Linked DNA regions of Styela clava. Each later gene encodes a partner of the first gene's protein in a complex. Links are inferred from orthologs where the notes say so. Each region holds a gene or a part of one and is shown in the gene's direction. Other genes may lie near its edges.

Evidence for each region.
Region 2: basement membrane-specific heparan sulfate proteoglycan core protein-like (region 1) and LIM and senescent cell antigen-like-containing domain protein 1 share a complex: the UniProt entries of both Caenorhabditis elegans proteins name them as parts of the integrin containing attachment complex. The link is inferred for Styela clava from reciprocal best matches to the Caenorhabditis elegans genes unc-52 and unc-97.

The regions. Positions count from the first base shown.
Region 1 is NC_135251.1:19,815,039-19,822,001, forward strand, and holds the start of basement membrane-specific heparan sulfate proteoglycan core protein-like, read left to right. Parts: upstream 1-3,938; 5' UTR 3,939-4,130; coding exon 4,131-4,205; intron 4,206-6,963. UniProt on the Caenorhabditis elegans protein: Component of an integrin containing attachment complex, which is required for muscle development and maintenance. Probable structural role in myofilament assembly and/or attachment of the myofilament lattice to the cell membrane.
Region 2 is NC_135256.1:11,039,473-11,047,086, reverse strand, and holds the start of LIM and senescent cell antigen-like-containing domain protein 1, read left to right. Parts: upstream 1-4,588; 5' UTR 4,589-4,882; coding exon 4,883-4,995; intron 4,996-6,223; coding exon 6,224-6,386; intron 6,387-6,523; coding exon 6,524-6,590; intron 6,591-7,180; coding exon 7,181-7,373; intron 7,374-7,614. UniProt on the Caenorhabditis elegans protein: Component of an integrin containing attachment complex, which is required for muscle development and maintenance. Probably function in adherens junction.

The DNA.
Region 1 (6,963 bases):
TAGTTAAAGTCTTCTGTTTGGAAAACCTAAAATATTGATGATTGACTCAGCTGGAGTACTAACTGGCAAATATTCATGTTTGTATTTCATGTACGCTCAGTATCATACACATGCAAAGATAAAAAATAAACTCCGATCGCGTGAGAATGCAAATAAGTCACGATAACACGATCCAGTAGCGAAAGATCCCGCTGTGATATCATTTCGAACGATACTACTTCTGACATAGGTTCGTGTACAACCGTGGTTTTCAAAGTGCGTCGTTACAATTTTGCTCGGCGGTCGTAAAACTTTCTTCTCTTGCGGAATTATACCTGTTTTGCGGTGCGTAGCAAAAGTCTAATTATAAAATTGCACTGCAGAAATAAATGTACAAGCGTAAAAATGATACTGCACGAGAAAAGTCGAGAATTTTCGCAAGTATGATGGAAGCTACTTGTACTTAGTATCGTTGAAGTTCCGAGTAAAAAGGCTCCTTCGTTTTTGTTAGGTAACATGGTTTCACTGGCCAAATCCTTGCTACAAACAACACATTCCGGCTTTTCGTTGCCATTTTGTTAAACGGAATCGATATAAAAAATAATTATATTTCCTAAAATTTACCGAGTTTTTGGAATTTTTTGGATAAAGATTATCTTTCCTTGGTTGCGTACTCTCACCCCTTCTTCGTATTTATGTGAAACAAGCTTTTCTACCATGGCGTAATAAAGAAAAAATATCGATTTTGAGTAAATTTTGGAAAAATGTGTGCAGCTGTCACAATTCACCCCAAGGTTCAATAACATATAACAATTGTAAAAAGACGCAAGTACATGCACATTAAATGAGATTTTACTGACTTTCGTCAAGTTTTTCTTGTCCGTTTAAATCAGGGGTGGTCAACCTTTCACATACCATGCGCCACGTTTTAAACATAATGTTTCAGATGCGCCGTAAATCTCTTCATTCTCTTGTATTCCCACGCCTAATGTCCACTTCTTGTTGAAATTATATTAATTTATAATACACATACATATATACACACATATATGTAGTTTTTACAACTTCACATGAATAGAAATTAAGCAAGGAAGTATAATAAAACGCAAACGCAAAAATTCGAGCAATTTACGATAAACAGATTACGATTGATTACGAAACAAGGAACCATTGTGACGCCATGCTTCAAGTAAAAACTACAGCCTTTTTGAAAGTAGGAGAAAAACGCATTCTGTCTTATGAGCATTACGCAATAAATCTGTTTTTAACGACGAAGAGAAAAAGATACGATTAAGAAGCTTTTTGGCCTAGCGTCGCGTGATTTTACTCCAGGCTTCTTCGAGATTAGTACTTGCGTCACAGCAAGCGATTTTACGCTTCGCTTTTGTTGACAACGGTCATTTGAAGTTTGGATGAAAAAGGTGGTATTTAGGGGTCATTTTCAGCATGTTGTGGGTTGATTTATAATAAATTTTTTTGGCTTGGGCAATTCAACTGGTTGTTCAATGGTTATTGGGAGATATTTGGGGAGTCTGGGCAATGGAAAATCTATGTTTCAAGCTGATAAATGACGATTTTCTATTTTTCCAGAAGTTCTGAACTTTTTACTTCAGTAGGGAAAAAATAGTAAATTTTACTAACTTTTGCTGAAAGTCTAGAATGAATGTCATAAAGTCCGTCCAAAAGCTAACGTCGATAATCGCCTGTTGTTTCTAATTCCAACAAGCCGTAAGTGGGCGGCGTGGAGTAAGGAGAATAGATTTTAGGTACAATCAAAAGTCACCATGTAAATCGCAAAAAACGGCTTGGCGTGGAGAAGCCAAGTGCAATTAACAATTTTGGCATGAAAAGGGTTAAAGATGCAATGCGCCACCTCTAATCATGCAATGCGCCACGTTTGGCGCATGCGCCATAGGTTGGCCACCCCTGGTTTAAATGAAACTCATTGCAAAAAAGTTCTTTTATTGAAAGGTCATATGACGTTTTCATGGGGAGTCGCAACATAAGTATATTTTTCGGAGGGCGTCACAGTACAAAGAAGTTTGGGAACCACTGGTGTACAATATTGAAGTTGAAATAATTAAACATTTTCGATTTTATTTTTTATCCTCAGAGCTTCAATACGACAGCCTAACGTCAGCCAAATGTCATAGAAAGACCCGCTTGTTAGCCATATCATCTTATACACACAAGGTTTTATATATGATGGTAAACTATGATGATTCATTTAGAGCAAAGATACACTTACATTCGAGACAACTGAGCATAAAATAGGCGAGCAAGATATGATGGGATACTGCGATGATTAATTTCGGTTTCAAAGTTCAGATTCAGATACATTTGAGACGAACTTTTACACAAATAATTGCATTAGACTCTACAACAATTGTTATAACTAAAGCAGTAATACAAGCGATTGTCCTAACTATATTTCGTTTTAGGTCACTTTACGCTTCCTTATAGATCTGCTTCAAGTATATATATATATATATATATATATATACTGAAACTTTCCATTCATTTTTACCGACAATTGGCTGCCTCAATCGTACATCAGTGCCAAATTATGTGGATTTTCTATCAAACTCGATGTACTGATTAAGCTAGCAAAAATACCAAGTGTCATGGTTTGTAAAATCTCGTTTTTGGTTAATTTCATGAAAATTATTGCATTCGAATAATGTGGTGAATGAATATAGCTTATCGCCTGAAAAGAATCAATTATTTGTATTTTGATCTGCGTGGAGAATTGGTAACTACCTCTGATATTTACCAGCTAATTTAAGAATAATCAGTCTTGAACTATCTTTGTCCAGATGTGGGTAAAGACTCTACGAATGGACATTTTTTTTTAAAAATAATTAACGAAGCAATTTTGACAGTTATCACATTCAAATATTTTCAAATTTTGTTTGAAAACTCTTACTTATTTGTGGTTCATCCCGGAAAAGTATAGAATTTCTCATAAATTCTTCTTTAAATAACAGTAGTATAATCGCAATATACTAGATATTTCAAGGTCGGACGAAATGGGATTTATATTGACCCAGTACACGCCGTCGCCCATCAGGGAGCTAAATCTCAGCCTATTCATAAGACGGCGGCGACGGAGTTGCGGAACGGAAACGTACCGTCTGATCTGTTACCGGCGGACGATAAAGTACGTTCTCATCGGACGTTTACATTGCAAATATAAACGACGGGGCAAACGCGACTAAATAAACCAGGTTAACGTAGCCGCGCCTCGAAGAAGAAAAAACGGCGACGCGACGAAGAAAATGCTTGGCACCGTATATTTGGTCACACTTCGTGAGTTGTCGTCGACGGTGGCAGTTTACGACATTGTTAAAGCAGGATTAGTACGTTGTTGACCTCTATTGTATAAAGCTAGTAATACGGTCGCCAACATGGTGCTTTTGTGGCAATTCTCGAAGCCAGTTCAGTAGAAATGTAGCTCTTGTGCAACACGACAGACTAAATTCGTAGAGTATGAGTCAGCGCTCCAAAATAGCCTTCGCTATTATCTCATCAGCTGTAACTTTAGCATAGTCGACCAAGTTGCAAAGTACAATTCCCGTTGTAACGCCGTACAAAAATATTCTTCTTCCAAGCTATTCATTTCACTACAAATAAGCTAGAGTTCTGCTTTAGTGAATTTTCAGTTGGGATAGGTTTCGTAGTTTGAGGCTAAAAGTAGCGTAGTGTTTTATAAATCCATCGGCACTAATTCCCAGACATTTTCCGAAATTAATTGGCGAGTTCCTCAACGGTTAAGGCTTAATTAAGATCGCTTAACGATGTTATCTTTAATTTGATTTACACAGTCCTGTGTTGGTTACATCGCAGCAAGCACACTACCATAAATCCCGGCGAATGGAAGATAATTCTCCGGGCGTTCTCGGGAGTAAAACACGATATAAACGCTAGTCGAAGACTCAATTTTGTCAGCTTGAATTTTATATTATATATTTAGTTTTAAATAACCAGATAACGTAATTAAGTTAGGAGTATCGCCAAGAGGGACTCAAAATATAAAGTTCGCTTGTATGTTTTGTGATTAAGAGAAATCTGCTTACGATAGACCTTTTTATAATCAACAATAAGGATATAAGAGAAATCTAAGAAGCAATTACCAAGAGGATTTATCCGAAATGGATATGTTATGGCTTGGCGTTTTTGCCACATTGGCAATTGCCACATGCCTCGCCACACAAGACTTGAATTTGGTGAGTAGACTGTTCTGAGTAATTTAATTTAATCGGCTGCAATCTCTATTACAAAAGACTGGACTTTGACTTCCCATATAAGAACCCTTTCAACACATTTGGATTCAGGTTCCTAAATTGCATTTGCGATAACAAATGTTAGCCGATTTCAAGTGCCTTTGGATCTCGTACTCTATGGGCAATGGCCTCTGATGTATTGTGTCTATAAAGGATTACAAATCAAATCATGTTGGATTTCAGCTTTACCTATGTGTCCGTTCATTGAACAGTGCAACCAAGAATTTCTTCGCTCGTATGTTTTATTTTTAAACTTTGACGATTTCTAGCATTACGTATATAAACAAACAAATGATATAACAACATACATGACATGACCCTGGACATAAAGTCTTCAGTCTCGGACGACGACCTTGTTTAATGTGTGTATATGATCAAAGCTGTTGTTCAAACAGTTATAAAATGTAACCTATGATCGGTCACGGGGTTATATTTTGTGCGAGTGACCGACCACCCGAACTTTGTGCGGGATTGAGATTCGTGTTTCGGTAACGCTTGAAGTCTTAAGTAAAAAACAAACGTCATGTAAATATTTGGCTCTTGTGTTTTATGATTTTTTCTATTTTTGAACGCCTATCTGCATCAAAGTTGTATCAAAATAGTCACATATGTTGAAATATGATTGGTATTTTTTAATTTAATTTATACGGTTTGTCTTGTAAAAGAGCCATCTATTCTATTGTCGGTGGATTCTTTAAAATTTTCAATCTTAGTTTCTAAATCATTAGCGATTGCAGTAATAAATTCCAGGAGGTAAATGCAATTTTCACAACAAATGGACGTAATGGCATTTTCTCACGGTTTTAGATTCGTGGAAGGAGTTTTCTTTCAGGAGTATATCTTTGACTTCCCTGTCGATACGGCAAATAATTTCGATTATATACTTCAAACCCGACTCCCGCTTCGCATAACACAAATACGGTGACAATTTGATGATTGAAATAGAAAATGTTAGAATTTCATTTCTATAGTCTTGCTCTAGCATATGTAACAATGCAAACCGACCAGGACATGAACCGGAACTGCCGAACAAAAAATAATTTGATCGGCCACCCACTAACTCACACTTGGCAAATGAAAACCATCACACAGGGTATACTGAAATCATTCTGTAACGTTCTCCATAAATGTGAAAATCAGCTTGCGCTTTCGATTGGATTTACAAAAAATGATCACCGACAGTATGGCACCATTGGGTGTGTTGGGAAATAGGATTCAGTTATGTTTTGATTTGAACAAAATCGTTATTTAGATCTCTTTTCGTGATTACGCTCCGTTCTATTCAAATATTTCATAGTTTGTCTACTTGGTTTCATGCGTCGTTATGGATGGCGCAAGGTAATTTAAATTGACCAACTATGAAATTAATTATCCACTGTTAGTTTCAGATATTTTGTATCTACGTAATGCAAAATATGGAATTGCAATATAAAAATACAATATTGCATGATGCAGTTAGTGATAATTATAATGCCATCTCACAACGCCTCTGGTTTTAAATCACCATCAGCAACTGTATTTGCGCGTTTAAATGCCGGGTCCTGTGGGATTTTATATGTAGGTCATTGAAGAGCTGAAGCAGAAGCATGCTATTATTGTATGATATATAATCTAGTACTTTTCCTTTCTAGGCTCTAATTTTGATTATTTTTATTGATCTGCTTATGTACAAAGAATGTGCGAAACCAATGTGGTTTACTTACAATATAAAATAACCATGTCACATTTCGTGCGAATATTCCCGCAAAATTGCGCTTTCAAATTGTTCATTACAGCCATTAAAACGATGAGTCTAAATTGGAAACGGTATCAATGTAGGATGCTAGGAACGCTTGCACTACCGGATATATTTGACCACACAAGTCGACAAAAGACATTTTTCGAATGATCAGTTCGTGTATGCCTCTTCCATTCACAGCTCACTTTGGGCGTATTTCACGAAGCAGAAATTCTTTAATTAGCCTGCATGAGTTCACAGTTTAAAATATACTAACTTTTTGAACCCATCTTGCTGTAACTAATAGGCTTATATCCCTTATCAACATGCTTATCTGAGTCTAATCCATGCAACGTTGCGCATAGGAATGCTTACATTTACATCTTGCAACTCTGTCGATTTATTGATGCAAACCATCCGCTACTTTTATATTCAATAAAATTTTATATATTTATTCATTTAATCATGATTCTTGAATCAGATTTTGTAATACACCGTAATACAGAAACACAAGAGGTTGCATTTTCTGCTGCATATGTTAATAAATAAAAATGAAAAACTCTTTTTCAAGTACCAATAAATACAGGTGAAATTTTATTTTATTAAAAAAAGTTGATTGCAATGCCAACGCGTTACCAACAGAACACTAAGTTTTGCTTCGAAATATTGCTTAAAATTAGTGATTCATTCGTTCTAATATAATTATGTATTGAGAACATTTGTTGAACAATTATCACCAGCTTCCACTCGCTGCTGATAAGAGTCTCAGCAGAGCAATGACCATCCCCAAATTCAAAAAACTCCGAAACAAAATATCATGCAGTACTCCACAAAAGATAACTAAAATACGAGCATTCGATGTAGATATATAAAATACATGATGAAATGAGTACATTCATTATAATTAAACATGATAAAGATTAAAGAATCAAAACTTTTTGTCAGAAACTCAATATTTGGCTTGCAGGTTTGCATGTTTATTTT
Region 2 (7,614 bases), on another chromosome or scaffold:
AACATTAGGTTTCTACTCTGGATAAACTTGCTACAACTTGTAAGTCATTTTGTTTTGCCAATATCAGGTTTGCTTTTAAATATATTTATATTTATGCAATTCAGGCAATAAAAGATAGTTGGATAATAGTACAGGGGTTCTGCGAGCCTCTGGGTTGTTTCATTGGGGTTCCGTGCCACCATAAAAAGTTGAAAACCACTGCTTTAATGTGAATCAATTCATAATCAAATTTACTCCTGTTTTCTCTGATACAAATCATCACCAGATAGGTTTTGCTAAAACCTAGCCCTGATAGTCTTAATGGTTAATTCCCAATAATCTAAATAAATTGATTAGTTGATTAGAATATTAATAACTAATTTCTATAATAAATTTCTTTCGATTATTGTCATTTCATTTCCAAGCTCTTGTGTGATGTATATTCTTACCCTCATTGTTAAATTTAAATAGTTGAACTTTTTTATTTTATTCATGTATCCTAGATTCAACTGCTTTTTTGCTTTTAATTGCATTATGTGTTGTCACTACCTATTTATAATTATAATTGTGGTGCTTGAATAACATGTTGTCACCTTCATTATGATAACATCATTTTTTTTATGTATTTTACTAAGCACTTTTAAACGGAATTCATTATTGTCTCATTTATTATTGTTGTCCACTGTTTTCATCTATGTTCGTGTTCACATACAAATCCTTTCACCTGTGTCCGAAATTATCACTGTTTTTACCATAAAATACTGTTAAGTACTTCATTTATCAGGTCCTAAATTGGTAGGTTATTCATAACCAATGTCAACCAGTGGCGTGTCAAAATGATTGCCAGATAAGTGTTCATTTTCAAAATGTTTGCCTCATTGAATTACAATTTTACGTCTTCACCCTCTTGAAAAGTGTTCTGACAATTGCCTTGTTTCTTCAGTTTTTGTTTTTTGGCTAATTGGTACACCAGTGTTTTTTTTCTTTTCTTAAATTGCCGTTATAGGTACTTGCCACTATGTTGCTAATTCACCTGTGAAACTTCCACATACACAAATCCCGCATGTTTCAGCATTGTACGTTTTCTTCTGGTTTGTTTTTATCATTTGAATTGTAATCAATTGCTTAAAATTAAGTGTGATGAAAATATATTGCTTGATTTGCTAGTATAATTTTCTTTACAGGATATTTAAACATTCAGCTTAGAAATGGACAAATATTTTCGCTTGACATTCAGTAGAAATTTACTCTTATGATGTTATAGTTAGTTAGTTTATCAGTCAGCTGACTAAAACGCTTTCACCGTACGTCAAAAGCTGATCGAGGTTGTGATAATGGTGATGGTTTAGGCATGGCCGAACGGCATATGAAAATAGCATATATGCAAAAATTGAAACCTGGTGTATCAGATCCTACAGAGATTTCATTCGCAACTAACAATGAAAACGTAGCGTAATGTGCATTATAAATTAGCCGGTATATTTATACGCATCGCTGTTGGTGTCGAAATATACCCGAAACGACTATAGGATTTTCCTGTTGGATGGAGATCAAATAATTCTTTCATAATATGAAGGTGCCCAGTTGTAAGTTTGTGAATATTACATCACCAGATAAAAGCTGAACGTAGCCGGACAGCGATACGAGAGCTTTTCGGTCCCAACAAGTGGCCTTACGATCCTTTTTCGTCCTATCAGAACTACACGTTTTCCTTATGCACATTGTGAATTTTGTCAACTTTTATTTTAACGTTTGGAATTAATGTTGATATGTAAAGCTATGCCGCCCATCGGCGCGGCTCTCTGAGGATCGTGTTAAGCACTGTTCGAGAGGTTGCTGCACTTTTTGCCATCGTAGTACTGGGGTAGGTTGTTCACGTATACGCTGACCGGTTACGTCTCCCTCCCTTATTTTTACCTAAATATTAATGTGGATGTGTGAAAAAATGCCCACCACGACATCTCGCGGCTATTATTTTGCCTAACGCACGACTTTATTATTTAGAATTTGGGTGGTGCTCGTGTTGGTGATTGAGCAGCATCTGGAAGATTCCTCAGGCTAATTTTCAAGTTGAAATTTGGTGAGTTTTTTCTTTTAAATATCTGTTTTCGTTAGTATTAAAACTATTTTTTACTTATTTCATTAACACAGCAGAACCTTATTTTATGTTTTTGGGGTTTAGGCATCACTTCATCAGTCTGTCAGTTGTTTTTTCATACCATAATTTTGCTCTTAAAGTGAAGGGTATTTCAGCGTGGGGCAGCAAACTTTGACTGTTTATCAAATTTTGAATCATACTATTTCATTAATGAACCGCTACCAATAAGACCAATTTTGTTATAGTACTTAAGTTAGGATGGAGTCAAATATAGAAATTGTATCTTACTAGAGACACCGATTATTTATTGAACTGGCCACTTTAAAAAGACCTTGAGCATTTTGGCTAAGACCAAGATTGTCGATTCAGGTAATCTTTACTGCTATACCGTAATCTGGAAGAGCTGGGTATGTTTATGCTAAATCATCGATTTTTTCTCTGTGTTACCTAAGTACCCTTTCTACTAAAAAAACTGCTCAATATAATAGGCTTTCAAATCTATTCCTATTCGATATTTGCAGTGGGAGATACGACATCTAATGAATTGTTGGGCCAATTACCAAAACTACAATGAATAAATCAAATGCCAAATCGAATGAATATCAATTATGACTAGTCTGGAATAAGGTTTTAGATTATAATGTCTCAAAAATGGGGCATATTGTTTCTAAATTACGAAGACAGAGTATTGGTGATGGAGAATTGAATTTGGTATATAATAGTCATGTTAGATAAATTTATTATCAAGATTATATGAAGATCCTCCCCCAAATCTGGGGGGGGGTCTTCGTATGATCAACCCCAACCATATGATCTAGCCGGCGAGTGGGAGATTCGCACTTCATTAGTAGACCTGTTATTTAGTTACTAAATGTAATCTAAAACATATGTTGTCATGAACAAATATTTGATATGAAGAAAATTGGCACATTATAAGGCTTACTTTTATCACTAGAATCTTCAGTCTGAACAAAGATACGAGTCAGATCAGAGTCATTTTTTAGTTTTTCCTAGTTACCCAAAGATACAGTGGCTGTAATTTAGGCTACACAAGTCATGTGTGTTGACTCATTCAATAAAATAGGCTCTGAGGTTTTACTAGTGTAATCTTTGAGAAAATATCCCAAACATCATTGGATTACTTATAAAATTGTAAAAATTCCAATAATGACTTCTACAAGATGATTGCTCAAACTAATTTTTTGAAAAATTGAAAAAATGGAAACAATTCATAAGTTCCCATTCAATCCAAAATATCATTAAAGGTGTAGAGTTGATTCCAAGTATATAGTTGTCGAATAATTCCCATGATGAAGTTAATTTTTATTCCACCAAAAAATTAGCATGCTGTGTAGCTCTTTTCCATCCATGAAGACCACAAATTAAGTTTTTACATATTGTAAGAATAGGAAAAAATTACAATAAAAAGAAAACCAACACCAGACATTAAATGATACGACAGCAACATTATCTGTTAAATCATCAATTCAATATAATATATTAACCCTTTTTTTTATGTTACTACAATATCATTTCTTTGCAAATAAATAACTTTCAGATAATAATGGAAAAGAAAAATATAAAACTTAACTTATACCTTTTGAGCAAGATTTTGTTTTGTGACCTTATGACCTTGGTAAACTCTTAAATTCACCAGTAACATTTAATTTCATCTAGTTTAAAAAAAAACTTGTTTCTTTATATTTATTATTCTTGCTGACATTGCTCATTTTATATCGATATTGGAAATTATATACAGCCGGTATATACGTATATATATACGCTATGTTTTACGCAGAGGACTTACACCTGCTCAATCGACTTTATTAGTAATCCTGACGACATATTTGTAGTTAATAATAACTCAATATAATAATACCAAAACAGTGAAACTTCCAAAATGATACTCCTATGCGACATTGAACCGGCATAACGAAATAACGGTTATTAGTTGATATGTTGTGATGCGGATAAACCTCGACGCAAAATTATAGACATGATCGGCGATGTTTTGCTTTTGTATATCTTTCGTCGCACACACAAAATCCTCACCCTTGAAAGCACCTTTTAAACAGCCCACTCCCGTGTTGACACGGCATTGAATCTGAATAACTCTAATTTTGTAAAGTTGTCTTTAAGCCGCGAACTCATGCGCGATTGTTACAGAATATCAATATTACGATTTCTGAATCGAAATGTCGCTGCAATAGTTCTTCTAGCTGTCTAATAGTTTTCGATAACGTATTAATTAAGTGAATTATTACGTTGTCTGCGAGTCAACTGCCATATTTGGCTTCTTAAAAATGCTTCGTTTTGTCGAGTGATCGAAAGGCCTAGTGTTTTATTGGGAGATAAGGTATGTTTAACTGAATTAAATAAGTTAAAAATTAATGAAGCGCTTTGGGCGAGAAAGATTTCAGATACCGATATCTAGTTACAACGTACCGTAGTTTTATTGTCCTAGTTCATGTTTGAAGCGATAGGTCGGTGTTATCCCGGTCCGACGCTTGTCGCCTATAGGCAAACATTTACGACGATAGTTTTATTTCGCAAACCCAATATCGTCGTTCGACTTTCGAAATTCCACGATACGGAACATCGAATTCTTTTATTTACTCGACGCTCAAAGCGGGGAAGGTGTGGCCTCTTGAAGCTCTTGTAAGCGCATACTCGATCAAAAAGTTAGCAGCCGTTGTTTTTTCCCGTGCAGGGCGCTCTGTTAAAATTGTATAATAAATACTTTTTGTGGCATCGTCTGTCGGTGTATGAGGTCATAGTGAGACGGTGAAAACAAATCCTCAACCAATGGCAAGTTTGGAAGGGAAGTCGCGTAATATGACGCTTGAAATAAACGAGTCCAATTTGTTTCAGAGAAGGAAAGAGTCGCCAAGGGATCCACATGTAAATGGAGAAGGAAGGTGTTTATTTTGTTACTCGCAATTTTGCATTTATTTTGATATGTTTTCTGTCGAGCGATTTGTCTAGGAATATATGACAGGAAATACGTCGATCGTCTTGATTCGGCGCATTCGTGACAATTTATCAATTTATTATTAAAAGGGAGTTTATGATTAGTAATCTATAACACGATTGTATATGTCGATATATTAGGCCGTTATAGCAATAGGCGCCTGGTGATACGTAACGGTCGAATTGTAGCTTGTTTTGATAGGTTTTTCCGTTCCTTGTATGGAGTTCGGGTGTGAATGATATGGCTACAAAGCTGGTTCATGTTTGCGTTCAGGCCTGAAGAACCACCAACGCCAATGTTTAGCCGACGTAAAACAAATTTTTAATTAACTGATATCGTTTTTCGAAATGACAGGCGGTACTCGTGCTACAAGATGTAATATGGATTAGTATGATTGTGTTAATCATGAACATAATATGAAATTTAAAATTAAAATTAGAGAATGATACTTTTAGCATACTTTTGAGAACAAATTGTGTTATATAACTGATTTTTGCGAAGATATAAAGGGAATTCAATGATGCTAGAAACCGATGCTTATTCATAGGGTGTGAATTGGATAGCTGAGGTGTAAAGGAGGGAATAGTAGCTGTTACTTAGAAATGATTCATTTGCCCAGAGACCACTATTGCTTTATTACTGCGATACGTTACTCTTTGACAACATTGTATAAATAACCTGTTATTTATATTGGTCTAATCTAAATCAATTGAAAGATTCAACTATTTGGCAATAGTAAAAGTTTTTTATCAAATTTAACAAACATCTCGATAAGTATCAGCTAATATAAAAATGTTTAGATTTGAACTTTGTCTGGGTATCTTAGTTACAAAAATTTAAACTTATTAAAGTGTTTGTACTGATTAGTAGTTCATGGTATTAATTGTTTTTAAATCTAATTATTGTCATTTGTGACAGTTTTTTCCATAGAGCTGTAAAATGATCCCTCCTGAAAGATGGTCACATTGAGACAGTAACATTGAAGTTTTTTCTTTTTATATATTCCTATTTTGTCTCGAAGCTGTGTACTCTTATTCATTAGCTGTAACACTAATATTGCTAACCATCAATCGGCTTTATCATCTTTCTATAGGCGGAAAAATCTTTTGTTTCATTTATCAGCAAGAAATGTAGTTTTCATAATTGTAATGTTTTCTATTTTTTTCATTTTTTAGCGTGATGATGTCCATACAGCTTGCGAATGCCGTGTGTATTCGTTGTGAAAGAGGATTTTCAGAACAAGAACAAATGGTCAATTCTAATGGTGAAATATATCATGAAGATTGCTTTGTTTGTGCCCAATGTTTCGACAAATTTCCTGAAGGATTATTTTATGAGGTAAAGATTATATAAAAAGCGGTGATGGATAGAAGTACCTAAACTCTTAATCGCGAGTCACAAGTCGTCCGACTCCGAATTCAATCATAAATATCTGATTGGTATAATTTTTAACTCTTCTCTTATTTTATTTTTAGTATGATGGAGTAAAGTATTGTGAACATGATTTTCACATGTTATTTGCACCATGCTGTGGAAAATGTGGTAAGTTCTATTCCACCCAGTTCTTGTAAATCTTATTCACTTTACCATGGTGTACTGCGGAATTCAAACCTTATAAAAAGTTTTTGTGACGTCATAGGTTTTTTTATCTATTTATTTATTTTTTTATTTATAAATTATGGAATCGCAATATTATTCGGATTATTGCCCCTCGCTAATGAACTAAATAACACTTGTAATATTAGTTTATGAGAAGTTTATGACAATTAAAATATCAATGAAGAAGTCACCGATTTGATGGAACTATATAGCAGAAGTCAACATAATATATTTTTAACCTTATAACAACTTGCTTTTGATAGTCATATTACCCATGATTTGTGCTTTCGATTGAGTTTTTACGGGACTAGTTACTTATTCTTCTTTTATGCTTTTGGGTTGATGGATCCCTATGCATATAAAGCAAGGGAGGATCTTGCTGCTCACTAACACAAATAAATTTCTGTAATTTTTCGTGTATCAAGACTTGAATTACTTTGGATAGTAACCCATAATTGTTATTAATAAATTACCATTTAAAATAGTCACATGTTTCGAAATGGATGCCTTTAAACCAGATCTTTTTCATTTAGAGGAATTTATCATCGGAAGAGTAATCAAAGCAATGAACAATAATTGGCATCCTGCATGCTTCACTTGCCAGCTATGTGATGCCACTCTTGCTGATATTGGATTTGTCAAAAATCAGGGCAGAAGTTTATGCAGGCCTTGTCACAACAGAGAAAAGGCATTGGGACTTGGAAAATATGTTTGCCAAAAATGCCAGTAAGTAACACAGCGCCACGTGGTGGTCTACTGGTAAACTGCGAGGGCATTGCATGTAGATGTCCCGTGGTCCATATTTCATTTCACCATCTCACCTATGGTGTGAAGAATTGGAAAGGCAATGCCGAACCGAGTTGTCTATCTACGCAAAATGGTGCCCTTGTCAAATCTTAAAAATGTGCCTTCTTGATTAATTGATATACAATTTTTAACGACTGTTGTTGAATTGAGGAGATACTTG